7 linked regions of the Macaca mulatta genome follow. The protein of the gene in region 1 purifies or fractionates together with the protein of each later gene. This does not show direct contact. Links are inferred from orthologs where the notes say so. Each region holds a gene or a part of one and is shown in the gene's direction. Other genes may lie near its edges.

Region 1 (3,500 bases):
GTTCTTTTAAAATTAATAAAGTACTCAACTGATAGGTTACGTGCAAATAATGATCTCAGAATCTTTTTTTCATGTACAGAAAATGTTACTGTTATAAGTAAATAAGCTTTTACATTCTAAAATGATAATGAAAATTATTTTTATCTTTATAGTTTGAATCAGCTTGGGTACTGACAAATATTGCTTCAGGAAATTCTCTTCAGACCCGGATTGTGATTCAGGCAGGAGCTGTGCCTATCTTCATAGAGTTGCTCAGCTCAGAGTTTGAAGATGTCCAGGAACAGGTAAAAATGAAACAAAAGGAAGCAGCTGAAAGAAATTTTTCGGCTGGGCACGTCGCTCATGCCTGTAATCCCAACATTTTGGGAGGCCGAGGTGGGTGGATCACAAGGAGTTCGAGACCAGCCTAGTCAACATGGTGAAATCCTGTCTCTACTAAAAATACAAAAATTAGCTGGGCGTGGTGGTGTGTGTCTGTAATCCCAGCTACTTGGGAGGCTGAGGCAGGAGAATTACTTGAACCCAAGAGGCGGAGGTTGCAGTGAGCCGAGATCGCGTCATTGCACTGCAGTTTGGGCAACGAGAGCAAGACTCCGTCTCAAAAAAAAAAAAAAAGAAAAAAGAAACAGTATTTCCCTTCAGTCATAATAAGGGGCTGAGTTTTGCCAGTTGGCTTTGGTAATCTATGGATTGTCACAAAGGAGTGTTCTAGAAATTTAGTCTTAATCAAATAGAAAATGTCTTAGTGACTGTAGGCGGAATTTCTCTTAGACACAAAATAATCTTCCCCTTCCAAACCTGACATTCTTTAAGCTATGTATATGTACTTTTTTAGACCATGTAAGCAGTTACTGATAGAGGTTTTTTCTTGTAGAAATTTCAAGTGTTGAAAGTAGACCAGTTGCTGTGGCTCATGCCTGTAATTCCAGCACTTGGGAGGCTGAGGTGGGCAGATTGCTTGAGCCCAGGAGCTCGAGACCAGCCAGGGCACCATGGTGAAACCCCATCTCTACAGAAAATAAAGTAGGTGGCCATGGTGGCACACGCCTGTTGTCCCAGCTGTTTGATAGGCTGAGGTGGGAGGGTTCACTTGAGCTCCAGGAGGTGGAGGCTGCAGTGAGCCGAGATCACACCACCATACTCCAGCCTCGGTAACAGAGCGAGACCTATCTCAAAAAAAAGAAAGTGGCTAGTCTTTGCTACTTTTGTGCAGAAGGGTACAGAAAACAAACTTCTTTTTGTTCACTGTTTTCTTATGTAAGCAAGAAAATTCTCTTTCTCTTTTTCTTGCTTTCTTGCTTTACTTTGCTTTTCTTTCTTTCTCTCTCTCTCTCTCTCTTTCTTTCTTTCTGTCTGTCTTTCTGTCTGTCTTTCTTTCTGTCTTACAATCTCTGTCACCCAGGCTGGAGTGCATTGGCTCAATCTCGGCTCACTGCAACTCTGTCTCTCAGGTTCAAGCAATTCTCATGCCTCAGCCTCTCGAGTAGCTGGGATTACAGGCGCCTACCACCACACCTGACTAATTTTGTATTTTTAGTAGAGATGGGGTTTCACTGTGTTGCACTCCAGACGGGGTGACAGAGTGAGACTCTGCCTCAAAAAACAAAAACAAACAAAAAAGAATTAGTTCTTTCCTTTAATAAACTGAAAACCTCTGTTTATTGTATACTCTTGGATACTACTTATCTTCTCCCCCCAATCCTACAACTATTTCATTTGACTCGCCGATGAACGTGTTATTGTGGTATACTGGCATCTGAAAGAATTATGAGGGAATTAAACTATGTAGCCTTTATTAATGAATGATTCTTTCACAGGCAGTCTGGGCTCTTGGCAACATTGCTGGAGATAGTACCATGTGCAGGGACTATGTCTTAGACTGCAATATCCTTCCCCCTCTTTTGCAGTAAGTTTCTTCTTCCTTCTTCCTTTTTGAGAATAAAAATGTAAGAGATTCCTCAGAAAGCGTTACATCTTTGGAAATCATTTTGGATTTTCTAGTGTTATTTTTTATTCCAGATATTTTCTTGTATAGATCATTTCCTCCAGCACCCTATCTTTTTCCGTGCCAAAATTCTGAATTACTTGCATCAGAATTAATGAAGTTTTAATGTTTTGGAGAAAAGCTGTCTGAAGACATCTCTTTATCAAAAGTATTATTTAGTATTTATGTCATCAGATAATCACTGTCTGTTATATAGTTTACCCTTGTACCATCGTGCTTGTAGGTTATTTTCAAAGCAAAACCGCCTGACCATGACCCGGAATGCAGTATGGGCTTTGTCTAATCTCTGTAGAGGGAAAAGTCCACCTCCAGAATTTGCAAAGGTAAGGACTATGCTTTTGGGACATTGGCAGAAAAATACAATTAAAAGAATATAGCAACCAATAGTAAGGTGAACAGAAAGATAATTTTTGTTAAAATTTAAAATGTTAGAATTTTATCTGTTTTCAGACAAACTGTTGTTTTTGTTGGTTCTCTTTATTATTTAAAAAGCAAATTTAAAGCATAACTTGAAGGTGCACATTTACGAAGGGACTGCAAATAAAGCATAGCATGAAGGAAGAATTTGTAAAGCTTATTGAAATTAGGCTGCATACAATTAATATACTGTATTAAGAGACTATCCTTTCAGTTCTCTTAAAACAATGGTTCTCAAAATGTGATCTGTGAGTTCTCTGGGAGTCCATGAGATTCTTTTTTTTTTTCAACAGGTTTTTGGGGAACAGGTGGTGTTTAGGTACATGAGTTACTTGTTGAGTGGTGATTTCTGATATTTTGGTGCACCCATCACCCAGGCAGTATATACTGTATCCAGTGTGTAGTCTTTCATTTCTCACCCACCTCCAGTCCTTTCTCCCTGAGTCCCCAAAGTCCATTGTATCATTCTTACGCTTTTGTGTCCTCATAGCTTAGCTCCCACTTAATGAATGAGAACATCTGATGTTTGGTTTTCCAGTCCTGAGTTACTTTACTTAGAATAATGGTCTCCAGTTCGATCCAGGTTGCTGCAAATGCCATTGTTTCGTTCCTTTTTATGGCTGAGTAGTAGTCTATGGTATATATATCACATTTTCTTTATCTACTTGTTGATTGATGGGCATTTGGGCTGGTTCTGTGCATTTGCAATTGTGAATTGTGCTGCTCTAAACCTGTGTGTACAAGTATCTTTTTCGTATAATGACTTCTTTTCCTCTGGGTAGATACCCAGGAATAGGATTGGGCATCAAATGGTAGATATACTTTTAGTTCTTTAAGGAATCTCCACACTGTTTTCCATAGTGGTTTTACTGGTTTACACTTCCAGCAACAGTGTAAAAGTGTTCCCTTTTCACCACATTCATGCCAACGTCTATTTTTCTTGTTTTTTTGTTTTTTGGTTTTTTGAGACAGTTTTGCTCTTATTGCCCAGGCTTATAGTGCACTGGTATGGTCTTGGCACACTGCAACCTCCACCTCCTGGGTTCAAGTGATTCTCCTGCCTCAGCTTCCCGAATAG
Region 2 (4,228 bases), on another chromosome or scaffold:
CCACGTCTACGGTGAGCAGGGGCGTGGAACCCTGCTGGAGGGGTGGGGGACAAGGTGGAGCCCAGTTTGGGCTCGGAACGCTGGGCGTGTGTCATTGGGTGAGAGTCCAGAAACCTGAAGATCCAGCCCAGGAGGCCCCTCCGGCCCTCGGGACCGGGAAGGCTTTCCTGGAACGCGACAGTGGGTGGCTGCGGCTGCCGGAGCGCCTGAAACGGTGTAGCTCTGGGCCGTGGGTGGCGGTGGGTAGGAGGTCGGGCTGAGGCCGGCCACTGTGCTAGGCGTGTGGCCGGACGGCTCCGATGGGACCGACATCAACTCCCTGTGCCGCTCCCACAACGAGCGCGTGGTGGCGGTGGCCGACGACTTCTGCAAAGTGCATCTATTCCAGTACCCGTGCGCTCGTGCCAAGGTGAGGCCGCGGGGGCCGCCGGGGTGGGACGGGTGGGCCCGAGGGCTCCGCCGCCACTGCAAGTCTTCCCTCCCGCCCAGGCGCCGAGCCGCATGTACGGGGGCCACGGCAGCCACGTGACCAGCGTCCGGTTCACGCACGACGACTCGCACCTTGTCTCGCTGGGCGGCAAGGACGCCAGCATCTTCCAGTGGCGAGTGCTGGGCGCTGGGGGCGCGGGGCCGGCGCCTGCCACGCCCTCTCGAACCCCCTCCCTGTCCCCCGCCTCCTCCCTCGACGTTTGATCGCTGCCGGCGGGACCTACTGGCCTGGCGGCGTGGCCCCGCCCCGCTCTGCCCCGCCCTAATCCCCCACGACCAGGGGCCGACTCTTTCCTCGACTGACTTCGAAACATTCCCGACGGTGCATTTCCCTGGAGGGCGCGAGCGGCGCCCCTGCACACACTGTTTAGACCCGCTGGTTGAGCCGGGCAGCCCCAACCTAGGCCTTGACTCCCGCTGCCTGCTGAGGGGCAATAAACCAGAACCAAAGTCGCCTCCCGGTGCTTTTGTGGGGCGCTGCTGGGTGCCTCCGGGGCCCTGTGGGGTGGGGACGAAGGAAAAGAGGCGTGCGGAAAGGGCAAGGGAGCGTAGACCATTTATGCAAATAACAGGCAAAGCCGCTTGCAAATAACCTGGCGAAGCGCTAAGGCGCGCGAGTCTTCGGGGCGGGAGGAGGAGTTGCAGGGCTCCAGCTAGGACAGAGTTAAGCCCCACTCCTCTCCCGCCCTCGGAAAAAGGGGTGGGGGGGGTGCCGAGCTGCAACGGAAATAGCCGAGCGATTGGCCGACAGGAGCCGAACTTCTTCCGGAAGTAGCCGATCTGCGGGGTCTCGCTCTCCGACCTGAGCCGAGCAGTGGGCCTTGTTCTCCGGATCGGCCGAAGGTGTTACGGAAGGAGGCGAACCCTGAGGCGGGCCGGGCAAGCCTTCCCTGCGGCCGGCAGAGCTCAACGACTAGTGGGACTCGGCGGGGGTGGGGGCAGCTGCAGCCTGGCAGGAGCCGAGCTCGTTCCGGAAGAAGCCGAGCGGACCGGGGCCAGCCTCAGCGTCCCGGGAGTGAGGCGATAGCTGCGGCGGCGACAGCGCGGGCCGGGATGAACCGCGACGGCTGAGGCAGCGGAGGTGACGGCTGCGCGGGCCCCAGTGAGACTCCCTCGAAGCGCCAGCCCACCGTTCAGGGCTTTGCCTCTAGCCGAGCCCTGCCCCCGCGAGCCTCCCGGACCCCTTTGTGCGGCCGGAGGCGGCGGCGGGAACGGCCATGGCGGCCAACATGTACCGGGTGGGAGGTGAGTACCGGGCGCAGGGGTACAGGGTCCGGGGCGGGAGAGGTTGTGGTCGGGACCGGAGGGGCTCGGCACCGGGTGGCGCGAGGCGCAGCGTATGGGGCGGCATGGACCGGAGCGCGGACCGGAACCGGAACCGGGAGACGAGGAGCTAGGGTGCGGGAAACCGCGACGCGGCAGGGCGCCGAGACTCCTGGAGAGAAGCTGCGGGCAGCCCCGACGGCACTTTCAGGGCTGCGTCGGGGGCTCCTCGGGGCACGGAGTGGGCTTCGGAAACCGGTTCCGAAGGAGCTGACAGGGTGGGGAGGGAACGCGAGGGGCTGGGGCGACGGCTTTGCCACCGCGGAGGAGCCGCCCGGAGGTTTCCTCTTCCCAGGCGTTATTGTGCGCCTCAGTTCGAAAAGGTGGGGGCCCTGCGCTAGAGCGAACAATTACTTCGCCGCGACTGAGGTGCAACTCGTTGCTGAGTTGTGGGGACTGCAGGGGAATCCCTGCTTCTTGCCTGTTCCTTAAGGCTCACTTTTGAGTAATGGATCTGATTTTAGAACTAGGTGCGGTGGGGGTGGGGGACATCCTTATTTTCTCTTAGTCTTTACACTTTCACATCTCAGCGCGCTCTCTGCCTGAATCCTTATCTTCTTTTGATCCACTCAGGCCAACTTTCTCTCCTACTCTGGTGCTCTGCGTCTCTCCCATCTCCTCTGATCTTCGTGGTTCTCCCCCCTCCCTTCCCTTACAGATTACGTCTATTTTGAGAACTCCTCCAGCAATCCTTACCTGGTTAGACGGATTGAGGAACTCAACAAGGTGAGTGGAGCAGAATCTCTCTCCCTCCCTCCCCCAGTGGTCTCTTCTGAGGTTTCTAACTTCGGGTGGAAGAGAGGACCCTATACTAAGTACCCATTCATATTCATTCATTCATTCATTGGATGTATTCAGGAAAGGCTATTGAGAGCTTAGCAGGAACTTTACTATTCTGTCTCTTGGGGGCAAAGGAAAGGGATTTGGAAGTCTGTCCTTGAATGTAAGTGTTTACTCATATTTTCTTGGGCTTTTTAATTTAGGTCCCTCTGAAACTTACTGTTATTTGTCTCTTTGTGTATTTCTGTTCCCAGATGATCAATTTTCACTGCTACGTTGTTTTGTTTCTGTTTTTGTTTTTTTCCTCCCCTTAGACTGCAAATGGAAATGTGGAGGCAAAGGTCGTCTGTCTTTTCCGGCGCAGGGACATTTCTAGTAGCCTCAACAGCTTGGCTGATAGTAATGCCAGTGAGTATCTTCATCCCTTTCTTTTCCCCCTCCCCATGATCTGAGGCCTGCGCATGTCCCTGCAGGTATTTCCCCTGGTAGCATGCCCAAGGCAGAGGTGTGAGTTTGAGGGTGGGAAATGCCTGGCCTGAGGAGGGAGACCTGTTTTTACACGTTGGGGTTGGAAGCAGGGTGGAGAGATTGTGATATGGTTTGTGTATGAGAGTAGGAGAGAGACGATAAGGTTGATTTAGGGGATGAAGACGGGGTTTAGAGAAACAGAATGCTTTTCTAAAGGGGGGCAGTTTGGGGTACACTGGGACAGTAGGTGGTGACTGAAGGTCAAGGTGAAGAGGAAGAGATTGTACTGAGAAGCCCGCATAACAGAAGCAGCCTTATTTTGTAATCACAAGGTGGTGAGAATACCTGGAAGTTAGAAGATGGCTGGAAGTTTTCTTGCACTTTTTAATTTCTCACCTTGCCCATTTCCCCACCTGCCACCCCCCATTTTACATCTTTCCCTTTTCATTTTGCTCTATTTTCATCCTCTTTAAGGTCTCATTTTCTTTTTTTAAAAAAAAATATTTTCCTTAGCTGCTTTTTCCTTTCCTGCTTTGGTTTTCTTTTTCCTTCCTTTTGTTCCACCTTTCTAAATCATTTTCCTTTTTCAGACTGCTCTGGGTGAGAAGGGGTTAAAGAGGAGCCTGGCTAACCAAGTTCCCTGGCCCTTTAGGGTTTCCAGCCCCATCTGGCAGGGGCTGACCTTGGCCTTGTCCAATCAGAAGGGGTGTTGGGGGTGTGGTCCCCCTTGCCTTAGCACAGGGTTTCCGGAGCACACAAGCGAGGGGTGGAGCCTACTGAACAACCCCCCCTTCTCCCTGAGGTTGGGAACAATGCACCAATGAGCCTGGGCCTGAGGCTTTTCTGCCCCCTCCCACTTTGGTTGGCGCCTAGCCAGATTAACCCCTTCCACTAGGTTTCAGGGCAAGCTGCAGCTCTTTCAGGAGGAAGATGTTGGCACTAGCTTGAGAGGTGTTGTCCTTGAAAACCCTAGGAACTATTATTAGCCAAGTAGAGAATGAGGGATAGTTAGGGCTGCATGTGATGTTTTAGTGCAAAGAGTCTCCTGAAATTGAAAAGAACTGGTAAACACAGTCTTGTGTGATTTTTTTTTTCATCTTACTGGGTTGCTGGACCTCAGGCTGGTTTAGCAAGAGACAAATGTAATGTTCTTGCTGGCCTGTTGTGG
Region 3 (3,500 bases), on another chromosome or scaffold:
TCGGGCCTGATCCCTTCCCCCATCCCTGGGGCCCACATGTCCAGCTTTTCCTTTCTCTGCACTCCCCCACTCTGTGGGACCCCTATCCTGTCATCTAACGATGGGTTCTGTCTGCCTCTTTTTTTTCCTTCTCCTTGTACATGTCCATCCCAAAGTGCCCTGTGCTGAAGGGTCGAGTGCAGAAGATCTTGCATTGGCGGTGGGGGGAGCCGCCTGTAGCAATGCCAGCCCCTCAACAGGCAGACGGGAATCCAGATGTCCCAGCCCCGCGTCCTCTTCAAGGCAGATCAGAGCGAGAGTTCTTTGTCAAGTGGGTGGGACTATCCTACTGGCACTGCTCCTGGGCCAAGGAGCTTCAGGTACTAGGACCTTTGCTTTTCCTCTCCCCCATGACCTCATTTCCTGCCATCCTCTCCCTCTCTTACTCCTCTGTTTGCTGGGTTCCCATACCCTTCATTTTCTCTCGTTTCAGGCCTCTGGCCTTTATACCCTACTTGCTTAGTTTCCATCTGTGGTTCTTTTGGTCTACAGTCCTCTTTCTCTCAGTCTCCATTAGCTTTCTTCCCTCAGATATAGCATAGCCTTTCTTAACTTCACGTCCTTCCTTATCTATCTTTTTCCATGTTTTATAATATTCCTGGCTGGGCATAGTGGCTCACACCTATAATCTTAGCACTTTGGGAGGCCAGGGGAGGATGATTGCTTGAGACCAGCCTAGGCAACATAGTGAAACCCTATCTCTATTTAAAAAAAAAAAATTATCGGCTGGGTGCGGTGGCTCACGCCTATAATCCCAGCACTTTGGGAGGCCGAGGGAGGCGGATCACCTGAAGTCAGGAGATCGAGACCGTCCTGGCTAACACAGTGAAACCCCGTCTCTACTAAAAACACAAAACATTTAGCCAGGCATGGTGGTGGGCGCCTGTAATCCCAGCTACTCGGGAGGCTGAGGCAGGAGAATGGTGTGAACCCGGGAGGCGGAGCTTGCAGTGAGCCAAGATCGTGCCCCTGCACTTCAGCCTGGGCTACAGGGCGAGACTCCATCTCAAAAAAAAAAAATCTCAATGTTTATAACCCCATTCCCTATCTCCTTTTGCTTATAACAGCCCCACCCAGGCGGTGTCTTCTGAAACTGTTGCATCTGTTTCATTTTATTTATTCTCCTGTTTTGACTTTGACTCATTTGTCTCTAATCCATCCTTTTTCTTCCTTTCTTTTTTCTTTTCTTTTTTTTTGAGATGGAGTTTTGCTCTTGTTGCCCAGGCTGGAGTGCAGTGGCACGATCTTGGCTCACTGCAACCTCTGCCTCCCGGGTTCAAGCGATTCTCCTGCCTCAGCCTCCCAAGTAGCTGGGATTACAGGCGCCCGCCACCACGCCCGGCTAATTTTGTATTTTTAGTAGAGATGGGGTTTCTCCACGTTGATCAGGCTGATCTCGAACTCCCAGCCTCAGGTGATCCACCTGCCTCAACCTTCCAAAGTGCTGGGACGCGCCTGTTATTCTCTTATTGCCCAGGCTGGAGTGCAGTGGCGTGACCTTGGCTCACTACAGCCTCCACCTCATGGGTTCAAGAGATTCTCCTGCCTCAGCCTCCTGAATATCTGGGATTACAGGCATGTGCCACCACACCTGGCTAATTTATGTATTTTTAGTAGAGATAGGGTTTCTCCATGTTGACCAGGCTGGTCTTGAACTCCTGACTTCAGGTGATCCGCACCCCTGAGCCTCCCAAAGTGCTGGGATTACAGGCATGAACCACCGCGCCCAGCCAATCTATCCTTTTTCATAGCTCTCTTTCCCTGTCCCATTCCTCCTGCTGGCCTCTTCCCCGTTCCCTGTTGTCCTCTGTGAGTGTCAGGCCTGTCTCTTCCTCGTTTTTCTGTGCCCTATCAGCTGGAAATCTTCCATTTGGTTATGTACCGAAACTACCAGCGGAAGAATGACATGGATGAGCCCCCGCCCCTGGACTATGGCTCCGGCGAGGATGATGGGAAGAGTGACAAGCGTAAAGTGAAAGACCCACACTATGCTGAGATGGAGGAGAAGTACTATCGTTTTGGCATCAAGCCAGAGTGGATGACTGTCCACCGTATCATCAACCACAGGTGAATCCTTGGCCCTGGGAAGTAAGACCTGGTATATGACACTATTCTTACCATGGTGATAGCCTCATGTTAGTATTTGCTGATTAACCAGGTAATTGATCTAACCTTGATAACCTCTGCTGTAGCTTCAGCCTTTCTGGCCTTGTTTCCTCCAGGGGAATGGGAGAAAACAGGAGGAAAGTTCGGCCAGGCAGTGCCTCTTTTGTCATCTCCAGTGGCATAAGACATAGCACATGAGTCTGGGGATGAGGGCATGAAAGCAAAACATGAGAGACATAATTCATCCAGACCAGTGTTCTGAATATTTCTTCTTCATGGTACTTATTACTGCCTAAAGTTACGGTATTTATTTAGTTATTTCAATGCTGTCTTCCCCATGAGACTCTGAGGTCCATGAGGAAAATACTTAGTGATTAGGTGAACAAATGATATAAGGAGGGATCTCCAGGAATGTTTTGTGATAGTTGATTTTTAGGATACCATCCTGAGAAGGTTAGGCTGCCAGGTTAACTATTCTCACGTCCCTTCCAGCGCCCACTGTTGAAGGTTGGGTGACAAATTTTGTGTGTTTGCTGATAATTGCGTTTCTCAGGCCTTCTTGCTGTTTGTGATCTATGCAATTTTTGTTTCCTCCTGCTCCTCCTTATGGCCTCCTGCCCCACAGTGTGGATAAAAAGGGGAATTACCACTATCTAGTAAAATGGAGGGACTTGCCATATGACCAGTCCACGTGGGAGGAAGATGAAATGAATATCCCTGAATATGAAGAACATAAGCAAAGCTACTGGAGACACCGGTGAGGGAACGAGCCTGTGGATTTGAGGGATTCTGAGGATGAGGGCCTGAAAGCTAAAACTCCAGCATAAAATGAGGGTATAGAAGGGACTGATTCAACCTGGAGTTCAGGGCAATGGCCACCTGGGCTGGGTGGTTTGAGATGGGCTTGCTAAAGAGGTAGTGTAAGGAACAGAAACAAGATCTGGCTGAGTAGTGGAGAAGAGAATGTTCAAGAGTGGGGAGGGCTGGTTCTTGAGGTGAAATCCAAAGGGCAAGGGTAAAAAGCCTGGGAAAAAGGAAATATGGGAAAATCTAGGTCATGGACAGTGGGAAGTAGGTCTGGAATGGGTTCAGAAAAGAAAGCGTAGGACTCCCAAAGATGAGGCCTCATTCAGAGCCACTCTTTTTCCAGAGAACTAATTATGGGGGAAGACCCTGCCCAGCCCCGGAAGTATAAGAAGAAGAAGAAGGAGCTACAGGGTGATGGGCCTCCCAGTTCTCCCACTAATGATGTGAGTCCTCTCAGTTGGCATTTCTTGTTTCTGGAGCCATGGTGATCGAAGATTTCCCAAGGGCTATTGATGGAACTTCCCAGAGATTCAGTAACCTCTGTGAAC
Region 4 (3,500 bases), on another chromosome or scaffold:
TAAATTCAATAGACAAATTTACAGATGAACTTTTAAAAGTTCATCTTTATGTGTAGGTTAGAGACTGAAGTTATAGTGATAGACAAACTGCAGGTCAGACAGACAGTCACGGAGACTGAACCAATCTTCATGTGTGAGTTAGAGACTGAAGTTATAGTGATAGACAAACTGCAGGTCCGACAGACAGTCACGGAGACTTAACCAGCGCTCATGAGAGTGATTCCTATTTCCAGCTTAATTTTATTGGTGTGACTGTTGATGATCTTTTAGTATATTGCTTCTTAAAAGTAACTGAGATCAGGAGGGTGCAGTGGCTCATGTCTATAATCCTAGCACTTTGGGAGGCCAAGGCAGGAGGATTGCTTGAGGCCAGGAGTTTGAGACCAGCCTGGTCAACAAAGTGAGACCTTGTCTTTACGAAAAATTTACAAATTAGCCAGCGTGGTGGCACACCCCTGTAGTCCTTACTCAGGAGGCTGAGGCAGGAGGATCACTTGAGCCCAGGAGCTGGTGGCTGTAGTGAGCTATCATCACACCACCGCACTCCAGCCTGAGTGACAGATTAAGACCTTGTCACTTTAAAAAAAAAAAAAAAAGCCCATATCTAATTAAAAAGCTAATCAAGTGTGCATCATGTAGTTCTTCACATGCAAAATCTGATCAAAATAAGTCTACATTAATCACAATTTTATTCTTTTTATTTTGGTTGGGGGATAACCTTGACAGAAGACGCCTTGAAGCTTCAGAAACAGAATCATTTGGAAATGAAATATATACTGTGAAATTTCAGAAGAAAGGAGATTATCCTTTATTTGGCTGCAAATATGACTTCAACCTGGAAGGTGTTGTGGATGTTCCTGAATTCTTGGTCTATTTTCCATTGCTAAATGAGTAAGAAGATTAATCTGTTCACTCTTTTCTTTTTGTCTTAAGGGAAAGAAAAGGGGGGAAAAGCAGTATTTCTTTTACTCTTTATTTTAAATGGGGGCCAAAGAAAAAGTATAGTCTTGTTTTTTTTTGTTTTGTTTTGGTTTGGTTTTTGTTTTGTTTTGTTTTGTTTTTTAAAAAAAAAAAAGACTAGCCTCAAATCTGGGGGATTATTGCCATAGGTCTCATATAGCCTAACTTAGTTTTTTCTCATTCCTGGAATGTTTTAATCCTGTGGGTGAAAAGGGGAACCAGTTGCCTTCAGCTTGTGGCACAAAACGCCTGACACTGCAAATAGCGAAAGTTTTTTTTTTAGTTACTGTTGGTCGCTTTGATGATAAACAATGAGTCTTCATAAATCAAAGGTCTTCCTGTTGACAGAGATGAGCATTAAAAGTTGTTTGCATTTCACTACAGCTTTGAAATTGGCTATGTCTCACAGGCAGTGTCGATGTTAAAATCCTGATTCAGGAATGTATGCTCCCATGTGCCTGAATTCCTAGGAGTCCTGGCAAACTGTAGACACAGGAAAAGCTGGGGGTAACTGGGCCTTACCAGGTAAGGCTTCAAGGCCTTGTGATACACCTTGGTTTCCAGAGTTTCCCTGGTGGGGAGAGTATAAAAGTCAGCTTAAATGTAGGCCATGTCATGATTGATTGAACTTGATTTTCTACTTTTTCGAAACAAAAATCTTTGTTTTGAATATTAACTGAGAAAAAGAAGAGGTATATTGTCTGTTTACTTTTGCTTGGTGATGATTTTAATTGTAACTCAGTCTAAAATTAGGGTTACAGTATTTTCAGGAGTTCTGTAATAGCTTATTCAATAGTATAAGAAAGCCAAGTAGCATTGTGACTGAACATGAGGAAAATACTATGCATAATTTTATAAATATAAACCATTACAAAATTTAAAAATATCAATTGCATTTTGCTTTTTAGTTTTTAAAACTAATAAACTTGGGGGAAATGTTACTGCTCTTCAACTTTATTTAAAAAAGAACTTATTTGTGGCATGTTGTTGAGAATGTTTAATATGTTAGCTTGAGGTTTTAGTTAACAGTATAAAACAAAAGATTCGTTTTAAATGCTGAACAAGACCTAGAGGTCTTTGTTTTTTTTTTTTTAACTTGAATTGCCTAATGATGGTAAACCTAAGTCATCACTTTAATATCTAATTTTTTAAAAGATTATTTATTGAAACAGTATTGGATGAAATAGAATCTGAAAATGTGTAGGGGTTTTGAGATGCCTTTTTGCCATTTCATTAAGAAACTGAACAGAAGCTTTTTGTGTGGCAAAACTTACTCAAATTGGGCCTCAATTCTTGGAATCATGAGATTTTTTAGGTGTGAAACTTGGTTTCATTTCTAAAGGTTTATTTTAGAGATTTACAAAGAGAATGGGCTGGAATAAAAGATTTAATTTTGCTCATGTTGCCTTTCCAAGGAGGATGCATTGAAGTAACAGAATCCTGCCTTACGTGAACCTCTTACATAGAAACCTCGGTGGCCCCTGGTGTCTGCCTTACGTGACCCTCTTACATAGAAACCTCGGTGGCCCCTGGTGTCTGCCTTACGTGTACCTCTTACATAGAAACCTCGGTGGCCCCTGGTGTTTGCCCTACGTGTACCTCTTACATAGAAACCTCGGTGGCCCTCTGTTTGCCCTACGTGTACCTCTTACATAGAAACCTCGGTGGCCTCTGGTGTCTGCCTTACATGAACCTCTTACATAGAAACCTCGGTGGCCCCTGTTTGCCCTACGTGTACCTCTTACATAGAAACCTCGGTGGCCCCTGGTGTCTGCCTTACATGAACCTCTTACATAGAAACCTCGGTGGCCCCTGTTTGCCCTACGTGTACCTCTTACATAGAAACCTCGGTGGCCCTCTGTTTGCCCTACGTGAACCTCTTACATAGAAACCTCGGTGGCCTCTGGTGTTTGCCTTACGTGAACCTCTTACGTAGAAACCTCGGTGGCCCCTGTTTGCCCTACGTGTACCTCTTACGTAGAAACCTCGGTGGCCTCTGGTGTTTGCCTTACGTGTACCTCTTACATAGAAACCTCGGTGGCCTCTGGTGTTTGCCCTACGTGTACCTCTTACGTAGAAACCTCGGTGGCCCCTGTTTGCCCTACGTGTACCTCTTACATAGAAACCTCGGTGGCCCCTGTTTGCCCTACGTGTACCTCTTACATAGAAACCTCGGTGGCCCCTGTTTGCCCTACGTGAACTTCTTACGTAGAAACCTCGGTGGCCTCTGTTTGCCCTACGTGTACCTCTTACGTAGAAACCTCGGTGGCCCCTGTTTGCCCTACGTGAACCTCTTACATAGAAACCTCGGTGGCCTCTGTTTGCCCTTGCCCTGTCCCCTCAAATGCCACCCTGTACACGAGCTCTCCAACCTAACTTTCAGGGTTTCCCCACTTCCTTCCACTCTTCCTTTACCTGCTGCCTGAAGTCATCTCCAGGCTCCCTCTTGTTGTCTACAGATATATAATTATAAACTTGGTAAATGCAGTGAGGAAAAAAAACACCTGAGAGTCTAATGGAGGGACCTAATATAATAGAAG
Region 5 (4,106 bases), on another chromosome or scaffold:
GGTCCTCCCACCTCAGCCTCCTGAGGAGCTAGAACCACATGCGCGCGCCACCACGCCCAGTTCTTTTTTTGAAATTTTATTGTAGAGATGGGGTTGCCATGTTGGCCACGCTGGTCTCGAACTCCTGGACTCAAGTGATCCGCCCGCCCTGGTCTCGCAAAGTGCTGGGATTACAGGCGTGAGCCCCCGAGCCCGGCCACGCCTTGGCTGACTGCTTCAAAACTTTTTTGAATTGACTGTAGTCACTATCTATAGCTTAGCCTTATCCTTGCGCCCGTTTGTTTCCTGGAGTTTTCTTCCGTCGTCCCCGTAGGAGGTGCCCCCACGCCCATCTCCAGCACCAACGAGGCTCGACGCCAACCCCAGCGCGCCCCCGCGCCCGCCTTCACCGGGACGTGACTCGTGAAACGTCCGCTCCGAGCGGCGGCGGCAGCGGCGGCAGGCTGGCTTGTACCCCGACAACGCGCGTCTGGCTTGTGCCGGACGTTCCTATCTGGGTTCAGAGGTGGGGTTGGGTGCTCTCGGTCCCGCAGTTTGAGAAGTTTTCGCGGGTTTCAGAAGTTTCCTTAGGAGTCCTAAAGGCTTTCCTCAGGCGGAGTCTCCATTCAGGCACTTATTTAGCCAACCATTTCTCCTTTAGGGGTCCTCGCTGCTCGCCCAGCCGCTAATTAAGTGACGGACGCAGTAACCAAGGAGACTGCCTGATTGACACGCATGATTACCAACCGACTTCCGGAAACTCCAGCCAGGGCCTGCCCGGCGCGTGGCCCACGGCCCAATTAAAGGAGTGGAAGCGCTAAAGGGGGAGGTAACGGAGCGGCCTAGGTTGTGGCGGTTCCCCGGTGATTGCGCGCTGGGGTTGAGGCGTCTGCGGGCATTCGGACGATGCCGTGACGCGGCATGGCGACACTCTTGGCAGTGTGAGCGCACCCCTGTAGAGGGAGCCCTTCGGTCCTGGAGGCGGCGCGGCGTGAAGACAGGTTGCTATTTGAGAGCGCTCCCTCGAAGCCCCTCAGCGAGTGGGGGAGGGGCGGCGGACGGCGAGCGGTCCCTGTCTGCGCTTGCGCCGGCGCCTCTGCCACCCGGCCTGCACGCACGCGCATGCCCGTAGCGCGCGGAGCCGCGGTGGCCGGCGGCACTGCGCGTGCGCGGTGAGGAGCCCGCTAAGGAGCGGCGCTGGCGGACGTCGGGCTGGCGGCCCGTGACGTCGTGAGGAGAGCTTTAAAGTGCGGGCCGGGCCGGGCGTCCGAGGGTCTGGTCGGGAGTCGGGCCGCGTCTCCGCAGCAGCCCTCCGCGGCATGAGGCGCTGCCGACGCCCCTGCCCCCCGGGACGTGGAGAAGGTGGAGGAGGAAGAAGCCCCGTTGTCGCCACCGTTGCATGACCCTTCGCTCCTGAGGCCTTACCCCACGCCCGGACCCTCGACGCCCCCCGCCGGGTCCCCCACTCACGCATGGGGGTTCGGCGCTAAGGACCCCCCTCCTTCCGGGGGCCCCGGGGCGCGTCCCCTTAGAGCCATGCCCGGCTGCCCCGCCCGCCCCGGAGGACCCTAGAGCAGCGTCGCGGGGGCCATGGCGGCCGCCAGCGGCTACACGGACCTGCGTGAGAAGCTCAAGTCCATGACGTCCCGGGACAACTATAAGGCGGGCAGCCGGGAGGCCGCCGCCGCCGCCGCCGCCGCCGTGGCTGCTGCAGCCGCAGCCGCCGCTGCCGCCGAACCTTACCCGGTGTCCGGGGCCAAGCGCAAGTATCAGGAGGACTCGGACCCCGAGCGCAGCGACTACGAGGAGCAGCAGCTGCAGAAGGAGGAGGAGGCGCGCAAGGTGAAGAGCGGCATCCGCCAGATGCGCCTGTTCAGCCAGGACGAGTGCGCCAAGATCGAGGCCCGCATTGACGAGGTGGTGTCCCGCGCTGAGAAGGGCCTGTACAACGAGCACACGGTGGACCGGGCCCCACTGCGCAACAAGTACTTCTTCGGCGAAGGCTACACTTACGGCGCCCAGCTGCAGAAGCGCGGGCCCGGCCAGGAGCGCCTCTACCCGCCGGGCGACGTGGACGAGATCCCCGAGTGGGTGCACCAGCTGGTGATCCAAAAGCTGGTGGAACACCGCGTCATCCCCGAGGGCTTCGTCAACAGCGCCGTCATCAACGACTACCAGCCCGGCGGCTGCATCGTGTCTCACGTGGACCCCATCCACATCTTCGAGCGCCCCATCGTGTCCGTGTCCTTCTTTAGCGACTCTGCGCTGTGCTTCGGCTGCAAGTTCCAGTTCAAGCCTATTCGGGTGTCGGAACCAGTGCTTTCCCTGCCGGTGCGCAGGGGAAGCGTGACTGTGCTCAGGTAACCCACCCGGGTAGAGGGGGCGGCCCTGCGCCTGCTGCCTTAGCTACCCACCCTGGCCCAGAAAGCAGCAGCCCGTAGGAGTCCGCGTTTTTTACAGTTCTGACCAATTCTTCTGTTTGTAGGTTGCAGGGAGCGAGAGAAGGGTTCTGTGTTTAAGATACCTATAGCAAGAAAACAGGGAACCGATGTGGAAATCCTGTCCCCGAAGGCAGGTTTGACGGGATCACTGACTTGACTGAGAATTCATCAAAAGCCATCTTTTCAGAAGGCTGTTCGCTTTGATTTTTTTTTCCCCACCACCCATTTCTTAGCATGAATCCCTTTGTAATTTTTCAGTTTTTCATTCTGGCCTTCCGTTTACAAATCTATACTTAAATTTTTTTTTTTAATTTACTATCTAAAAGTCGTTATTGTTCTGCCATTTTTGGATTCCTTAACCGAGAAAGTAGTCACAGGCAAAGGCCCCAGAGATTATTTAATTGAAGCACATTCTCCATTCCCAGGAGGGGGAGTGACTTCCCTGGAGTTGAACAGATTAGTGATTGGGCCAGGAATAGAGAGCAGCACACTCTTAAAATTCTTCTCTCCTGGCTGCAGAAGAGCCCATCAGTTCTTTGTAAGAACGTAGTCAGGACTGAATACAATAGAATACAGCTGGTCTTTTGACTGTTTGGTCTTATAGTTGCGTGAGCGGTAGAACTTAGGCTTTTGGCCTATATTCGGTTCCCAGATCCTGCTGAGAATTAGCTCAGTGCCCTGGCCTCCAGAGGAGATTGCCAGTGGGAACACCTTTGCTGTTAACGTGAAGTGAAAATTTTTTTGGAAGCTACCTCCTTCGAGTCCTGAAAAAGGTAAACCTAGTAATGTAATTCAGTAATCCCCAAAACCTCTTAGGTCTAGACTGCAGCTGTTCTCAGAGCAGCTTGGTTGACCACCACCAAATACAAGATGAGGACACAGTGGGCTTTTGTCGTGAGCAGCCCAGGTTCTGAAGTGAGTCAGAAGGGCCAAAGTCATAAGGAGAAGCAGTGTCCCTGGTGCCCTCTTCATATCATGAGGGGAGGTCATCTGTCTCATTTGAGTCGAACAGCTGAGGCTCCTTCCATGTTGGGGATGGCAGCAGAGCCTTGTGATGTCCAAGACCTCCTGATGGGAATCTGGGAAGTCAGTAGTAGCAGAAGCGATACTGTGACTCCTTAGGCATCTGAAACCTAGAGGACAGCTTACCTGTCAGATACCTTCTTATCATGGCCTTCTGGGCTTCTCAAATCTTCATGGCGCTCCTAGATGGATGTCTTGGCAGAATGCTTTAACATGGGATTTCCAGGACACACCCTTCCAGCGTGCTCACTGTGTAAGGCAGGTTGGGGTCTGACCCTGTTGAAGGGTTCTCAGTGCTGAAATTACCTCACACAAGGACCATTTGGTCTCTTAGTGGGATACTAATTTTCTGCGTAGTCATTGGACCTCAGGGTGGTTGTCAGGAGGTCTAGTAGTGGTCTGGTGCCTAATGAGGGGATCACAAGGCATTTTTTTGGTTTTGGGACTACTCCTCTCCTTAACACACACACACCCTGCATTTAAGAACAGAAGTTTCGAGTTCTTAGTATGCAGGTCTGTTAGTGATCAGCAACGGGATTGCATCATCAGGAAAATTCTCTTCATCTTTTCCTCAGAATAGTAAAGTCCTAAAGCTTTCCCAGTCCCTGTCAACCCCTTCTGAATTCAGACTTGGCTGTGGAGTTAGTGTGGGAGGCTCAGCGA
Region 6 (2,755 bases), on another chromosome or scaffold:
ACTTGGTTATGTCAGAAGATAACATATAGCCCCTTATTCAGTGGACCTTCCGTTTGCTAATAGTAAAAAATAATATTTTACTTACTTTCCCAATTTTTGGTAGAGAAAAACTTCACACTAAAAATGACTAAAATGGGCTGGGCGTGGGTGGCTCATACTTGTAATTCCAGCACTTTGGGAGGCCAAGGTGGATGGCTCGCACCCAGGAGTTCAAGACCAGCCTGGGCAACATGACAAAACCCTATCTCTACAAAAAATACACAAACTAGTTTGGTGTGGTGGCGGGCACTTGTGGTCCCAGCTACTCAGGAGGCTGAGGAGGAGGAGCCTGAGGTGGGAGGATCACTTGAGTCCAGAAGGCTGTGGTGAGCCATGATTTCACCACTGCACTCAGCCTGGGTGACAGACCCTGTCTGAAAAAAAAAAACCTAAAATGTAACATTTTCAGTTCAGGTTCAGGCTATTTAAAATACCATTTATTTTCTTACTGCACAAAATTAGGAAAATAAAGGAAAAAATACAATTATTTCCTCCACAGAAATGCCTGAATATTAGAAGTTATTAAGTATTTTTTTGTTTCTGCATATATTACAAATATTATTCAAAGTTGGGGTCTTGTTTTGATTCTGCTTTTCTGATATATGAAGACTGAATATTAAGGGTTCATTCAGATTTTTACTTGGTTTCAGATTGGGGTATAACATTTTGAATTTAAAATGTAACTGCAGGAAACCTTTTCTTTTTTTCCTCCCAAAGGTTTGATTGTTACGGTGGTGGACTTTCCAAGATCAACACTCCTTTATTGACACCTCTTAAATTGTCACTAGAAGAATGGAGCACAAAGCCAACTAACGACAGCTATGGATTGTTTGCGGTTGTGATGCATAGTGGCATTACAATTAGTAGTGGGCATTACACTGCTTCTGTTAAAGTCACTGACCTTAACAGTTTAGAACTAGATAAAGGAAATTTTGTGGTTGACCAAATGTGTGAAATAGGTAAGCCAGAACCATTGAATGAGGAGGAAGCAAGGGGTGTGGTTGAGAATTATGATGATGAAGAAGTGTCGATTAGAGTTGGTGGAAATACACAGCCAAGTAAAGTTTTGAACAAAAAAAATGTAGAAGCTATTGGACTTCTTGGAGGACAAAAGAGCAAAGCAGATTATGAGCTATACAACAAAGCCTCTAATCCTGATAAGGTTGCTAGTACAGCGTTTGCCGAAAATAGAAATTCTGAGACTAACGATACTAATGGGACCCATGAATCTGATAGAAACAAGGAATCCAGTGACCAAACAGGCGTTAATATTAGTGGATTTGAGAACAAAATTTCATATGTAGTGCAAAGCTTAAAGGAGTATGAGGGGAAGTGGTTGCTTTTTGATGATTCTGAAGTCAAAGTTACTGAAGAGAAGGACTTTCTGAATTCTCTTTCCCCTTCTACATCTCCTACTTCTACTCCTTACTTGCTATTTTATAAGAAATTATAGGGTGAGTGTATTTTCCTTGTGTATATATTAAACACACCCACACAAACATTGGTAAAGTTGATTATATCAAAGAGTCTTTAGCTTATCTTTTGAAGCTACTGGATATTATTGGTCTCTCTAGGTTTTTATATAAATAGTGAAATTTGAATTACTGAAAACCATGTTAATTTTTAGAATTCATTTTCCTCAGTAGAGACTAGTGATGCATTAGCTTCTGGGAACAAACTTGTATCGGTTCTTAATTAAATTATCCAAAACGGAAGCATTTAAACACTTGGATTTACACCAATCTTTTGTGTTTGCTTTTTAAAATAAAGTGCTCGTATTTGTATTCTCCATATTTTGGAGTAATTATCTACATGATGTTTATAGTTCCTGTGGTTTTTCACCCAAGAAGCAGAATCTCATTCAGTACATTTAGTTTTATAAGAGTCATGAAGCGAAATCCTTGGGCTATGTCAGAGGCACAAAGTCTAGAATGTGTGTATTAACAATAGTGTACATTTTGTGCCTTGATTCACTTAGAAATAAGTGTCTCAGAAAACCTGGACAGTTGCCCTTCTATCTTCACAAGAATTTTATATGTATTTATGAAGATGATTCTGTACTCTAGTATAATCTTTTTGGGCATGGACTAATTTGTATCTCTTTAACTCATATTCTGCACGATCTGTATATAGTATATCAAACTTAGAGGTGTGACCTTAAATTTAACTTTTTTTAAAAACTGGGAGGTCAATAAAATTTAAACTGCTTAACTATGTATATGAATATTTGAATTTTTTACTTGTATATTTTTATAAATACAGCTGAATTTTCTTAAAGAGAACTAAGTGTGTGTATATATATATGTATATATATGAGAGAATAAGCATGCATAATCAGTACCTTTATTACGGAATACTTTCTGATAGTGCAGGAGAAGAGTTTTTCAAAGAGGAGAAATTGTGCTTAGTCCATCCAAGCTGTCATACTTAAAAGAGGTTTATAATGACATTTGTTGCATCTAATTGTCCTTTAAAGTAGACATGATTTAATGGAATAGAAAACTGGAAAAGTTAAGATGATGCTTTGGGCACACATAAAAACTTGGTTAAAATTTCATTTTAAACTAGTAAAGTGAATTGGTAAGTTGTGAATGATTTCATGACTTGTTAAGGGACATTCTTGGTACTAAAGAGTTTTTTTCCTAGAAATGATTCTAAATATATAAATGCTATTGGGATAACACTATAATACCCCATTTCAACAAGGAGTACCTTC
Region 7 (2,684 bases), on another chromosome or scaffold:
TGAGTTTCTACTACATGAACTATTTTGAGAATTAAGAGAAAAAAGGAATGTGTTTTCTAAATTGGTTGTTGAAAATTTTTTGTTTTATAGTTATATGGAATTGATGGTACAGTGATTTTCTTCATTGTTTCTGTTATCTGGAGTGGACTAGAAGGAACACATACTGGTAGCCTGCCGTCATAGTTACAATATCCAGTAGGTGCTCACCAGTTAACTAGGCTGTCTTGTGAAGCTGATAAGCAGGGGCCCCATTATTAGTTAAACCTGGGTTTCTTGAACACCTACTAGCAAGTCTAGCAAAAGAGTAAAGCATTAACACAATGATTGCTTTAACTTGGTTTCTAAGTAGCTTAGTGGTCAAAAGTGTATGTTCTACAAATGTGGATAGTATACTTGATAGAGAAGTAATTTATTTAACTTTTATGCTTCTTTTTATTGAAAAGTAAGGAGATCCCTAAACCCATTAGTAGCATTTGAGGCACCAAACTCTGTCTTTTGTATCCTCAATTGTGTATCCAATAAGCTTTTCCGATTTATCTGTCAATTTTTCATCCCACAATTTCCTCCCTCTTTTTTTTTTTGCCCCCCACAAGACAGAGTCTTGCTCTGTCACCCAGGCTGGAGTGCAGTGGCGTGATCTCAGCTGACTGCAACCTCCGCCCCCTGGGTTCAAGTGATTCTCCTGCCTCATCCTCCTGAATAGCTAGGATTACAGGCATGTGCCACCAGGCCCGGCTAACTTTTTTTGTATTTTTATTAGAGACAGGATTTCACCACGTTGGACAGGCTGGTCTTGATCTCCTGACCTCAAGTGATCCTCCCGCCTCAGCCTCCCAAAGTGCTGAGATTACAGGTGTGAGCCACTGCACCCAGCTGGTCACTGAATGTCTAATGATAGCTACGTGTTGAGTCCTTATTGTAATGTGTGCTAAGCATTATACTTTGTACTTTCTATGCATCATCTTTTTAAGTCTCGGTAACAATCTAGTAAGATAAGACATTCTTAAGTTTTATAGATGAGGATATGTAGTTTTACCAGGGGTAAATACAATTTTTCAGGGTTGTAGAGAGTAGACTAAACCCAGGCCTTCTGACTTCAGAGTGCAAGCTCTTAACCATTTCTAATATAATTGACTCTCTTCCCAATAATGATTGGAGATCAGATGACCGTTGTTTTAATCCTGATTTTTATACATGATTTCATGCTCGTGAGAAAATTGCCTGAGCTCTATCTGTATCATTTGTTAAAGTTAGTCGTAGGCCTTGGAGAACCTTCCCAATTATAAAATAAACAAAACAAACATTGGGTAGTTGATGAGAATGACAGAAAAAAACCTAGGACTCAAACGTTTTTGGAAAGAGTGAGATCTGATATAGTGTTAATTTGTTGTGCCTTTACACTTACTCTATTCAGTTGAAGAAGAGGAAGAAGAAGAAAAAGTGGCAGAAGAAGAAGAAACATCTGTGAAGAAGAAGAAGAAAAAGGGTAAAAAGAAACACATTAAGGAAGAACCACTTTCTGAGGAAGAACCATGTACCAGCACAGCAATTGCTGTATGTTTGTTTTTAATTATCGATGTTCACTTGGAGGGGCCAGTTCTCCACATTTCAATCTATTTTCTATATCAGAAATGAGCAGGCATTTTAAAAAATGGTTTTCATTGATGGGGAGGTAAAAGTGAAATGGCTTTGTTGTATTTACATTATAAAAGGCCATTTCCCAAATCTAGAATTTATTACTAAAAATTGAGTTTGCATTGAGAGGAAGAGTATGATTTGCTGAAACTTACTTTTATAGGTGGGGTTTTTATATTTTCAATTTTAATCTTTTCCCTGAATTTGTTTTCAAGGGAAACAGATTGATTTTGCATTTTATGAAGAAAAGTGATTAGTCACCCATACAATTACAGCTCTTTCAAAGCATTCTTGTTGGCTATTTTCAGAGTCCAGAGAAAAAGAAGAAAAAGAAAAAAAAAAGAGATAACGAGGATTAACAGAAAGGAATTACAAGTGTATCACCTGGACACATCATGCTTAAGATTCAACTGGGAGCATACCAGGGATGCTCTCTAACATAACCAAGGGAAGGTTCAGTAAAACAAAGTGATTTATCATCTATAACTTCAAACCTATTTGTGTCTTGACATCAACTCTGTTAACCTTATGTCATCATTTCTTAGAGTCTTTGATATACAAATAAAATTTTCTTTGTATTTTAAGACAATTTTGTGATCTCTTTATATCTTGAGTAGAGAATCTTTGGCTCCTTCTATAGTTTGCCATGTGATGATTATTGTTTTGATAATTATAACTGAAAAGTGAGAGTTTTTTTGAAATTTGACCTTTTGGAAGGCAGTGACTAAGTGGACCAATTCAAGAACCCTACTCTAATGTGTTTCTTTTGCCTTTTTGGACTACTTTTTATTTTCCACCTATTGTCTTTCTACCTCTCTTTATTTAAATATTGTTTCTTGTTCAAATTTTAAAATTAGGTGAGCAAAACATTTTAGTATCTGTTCAGAAGGGTGGGAGATAGTATCCCTACCTTTATTGTTTGCAATTGTAAAAGGCACACCGAAATAATTCTTAATACCCTGATTTGTTTTTAAAGTAGTCAACCTGAAGTGACTTTTTTAAAGGTTGTACAAAGTGATCATAAAGAATGGAGAATAGAGGAAAAAAAA

The links.
Region 2: the proteins of KPNA1 (region 1) and MTA2 purify together in Homo sapiens (co-immunoprecipitation; 3 studies listed by BioGRID and IntAct, with this or other methods). This does not show direct contact. The link is inferred for Macaca mulatta from reciprocal best matches to the Homo sapiens genes KPNA1 and MTA2.
Region 3: the proteins of KPNA1 (region 1) and CHD3 purify together in Homo sapiens (affinity purification with mass spectrometry; 3 studies listed by BioGRID and IntAct, with this or other methods). This does not show direct contact. The link is inferred for Macaca mulatta from reciprocal best matches to the Homo sapiens genes KPNA1 and CHD3.
Region 4: the proteins of KPNA1 (region 1) and RNMT purify together in Homo sapiens (co-immunoprecipitation; 4 studies listed by BioGRID and IntAct, counting the BioPlex papers as one, with this or other methods). This does not show direct contact. The link is inferred for Macaca mulatta from reciprocal best matches to the Homo sapiens genes KPNA1 and RNMT.
Region 5: the proteins of KPNA1 (region 1) and ALKBH5 purify together in Homo sapiens (co-immunoprecipitation; 3 studies listed by BioGRID and IntAct, with this or other methods). This does not show direct contact. The link is inferred for Macaca mulatta from reciprocal best matches to the Homo sapiens genes KPNA1 and ALKBH5.
Region 6: the proteins of KPNA1 (region 1) and USP1 purify together in Homo sapiens (co-immunoprecipitation; 6 studies listed by BioGRID and IntAct, with this or other methods). This does not show direct contact. The link is inferred for Macaca mulatta from reciprocal best matches to the Homo sapiens genes KPNA1 and USP1.
Region 7: the proteins of KPNA1 (region 1) and NOP58 purify together in Homo sapiens (affinity purification with mass spectrometry; 3 studies listed by BioGRID and IntAct, with this or other methods). This does not show direct contact. The link is inferred for Macaca mulatta from reciprocal best matches to the Homo sapiens genes KPNA1 and NOP58.

Annotation. Positions count from the first base shown.
Region 1 is NC_133407.1:161,315,039-161,318,538, forward strand, and holds part of KPNA1 (importin subunit alpha-5), read left to right. Parts: intron 1-152; coding exon 153-284; intron 285-1,817; coding exon 1,818-1,906; intron 1,907-2,228; coding exon 2,229-2,328; intron 2,329-3,500. UniProt on the Homo sapiens protein: Functions in nuclear protein import as an adapter protein for nuclear receptor KPNB1. Binds specifically and directly to substrates containing either a simple or bipartite NLS motif.
Region 2 is NC_133419.1:11,464,263-11,468,490, forward strand, and holds the start of MTA2 (metastasis-associated protein MTA2), read left to right. Parts: upstream 1-1,428; 5' UTR 1,429-1,706; coding exon 1,707-1,734; intron 1,735-1,852; exon of another isoform or gene 1,853-2,135; intron 2,136-2,470; coding exon 2,471-2,538; intron 2,539-2,906; coding exon 2,907-3,000; intron 3,001-4,228. Other genes in the region: EML3 (echinoderm microtubule-associated protein-like 3), read left to right, coding at 1-11, 279-409, 490-693. UniProt on the Homo sapiens protein: May function as a transcriptional coregulator. Acts as a component of the histone deacetylase NuRD complex which participates in the remodeling of chromatin.
Region 3 is NC_133421.1:9,402,499-9,405,998, forward strand, and holds part of CHD3 (chromodomain-helicase-DNA-binding protein 3), read left to right. Parts: intron 1-155; coding exon 156-359; intron 360-1,894; coding exon 1,895-2,106; intron 2,107-2,770; coding exon 2,771-2,902; intron 2,903-3,295; coding exon 3,296-3,395; intron 3,396-3,500.
Region 4 is NC_133423.1:84,414,143-84,417,642, forward strand, and holds part of RNMT (mRNA cap guanine-N(7) methyltransferase), read left to right. Parts: intron 1-726; coding exon 727-891; intron 892-3,500. UniProt on the Homo sapiens protein: Catalytic subunit of the mRNA-capping methyltransferase RNMT:RAMAC complex that methylates the N7 position of the added guanosine to the 5'-cap structure of mRNAs. Binds RNA containing 5'-terminal GpppC.
Region 5 is NC_133421.1:19,758,640-19,762,745, forward strand, and holds the start of ALKBH5 (RNA demethylase ALKBH5), read left to right. Parts: upstream 1-1,306; 5' UTR 1,307-1,569; coding exon 1,570-2,339; intron 2,340-4,106.
Region 6 is NC_133406.1:178,189,643-178,192,397, reverse strand, and holds the end of USP1 (ubiquitin carboxyl-terminal hydrolase 1), read left to right. Parts: intron 1-756; coding exon 757-1,492; 3' UTR 1,493-2,255; downstream 2,256-2,755. UniProt on the Homo sapiens protein: Negative regulator of DNA damage repair which specifically deubiquitinates monoubiquitinated FANCD2. Also involved in PCNA-mediated translesion synthesis (TLS) by deubiquitinating monoubiquitinated PCNA.
Region 7 is NC_133417.1:107,482,558-107,485,241, forward strand, and holds the end of NOP58 (nucleolar protein 58), read left to right. Parts: intron 1-760; coding exon of another isoform or gene 761-853; intron 854-1,414; coding exon 1,415-1,554; intron 1,555-1,943; coding exon 1,944-1,994; 3' UTR 1,995-2,184; downstream 2,185-2,684. UniProt on the Homo sapiens protein: Required for the biogenesis of box C/D snoRNAs such as U3, U8 and U14 snoRNAs. Part of the small subunit (SSU) processome, first precursor of the small eukaryotic ribosomal subunit.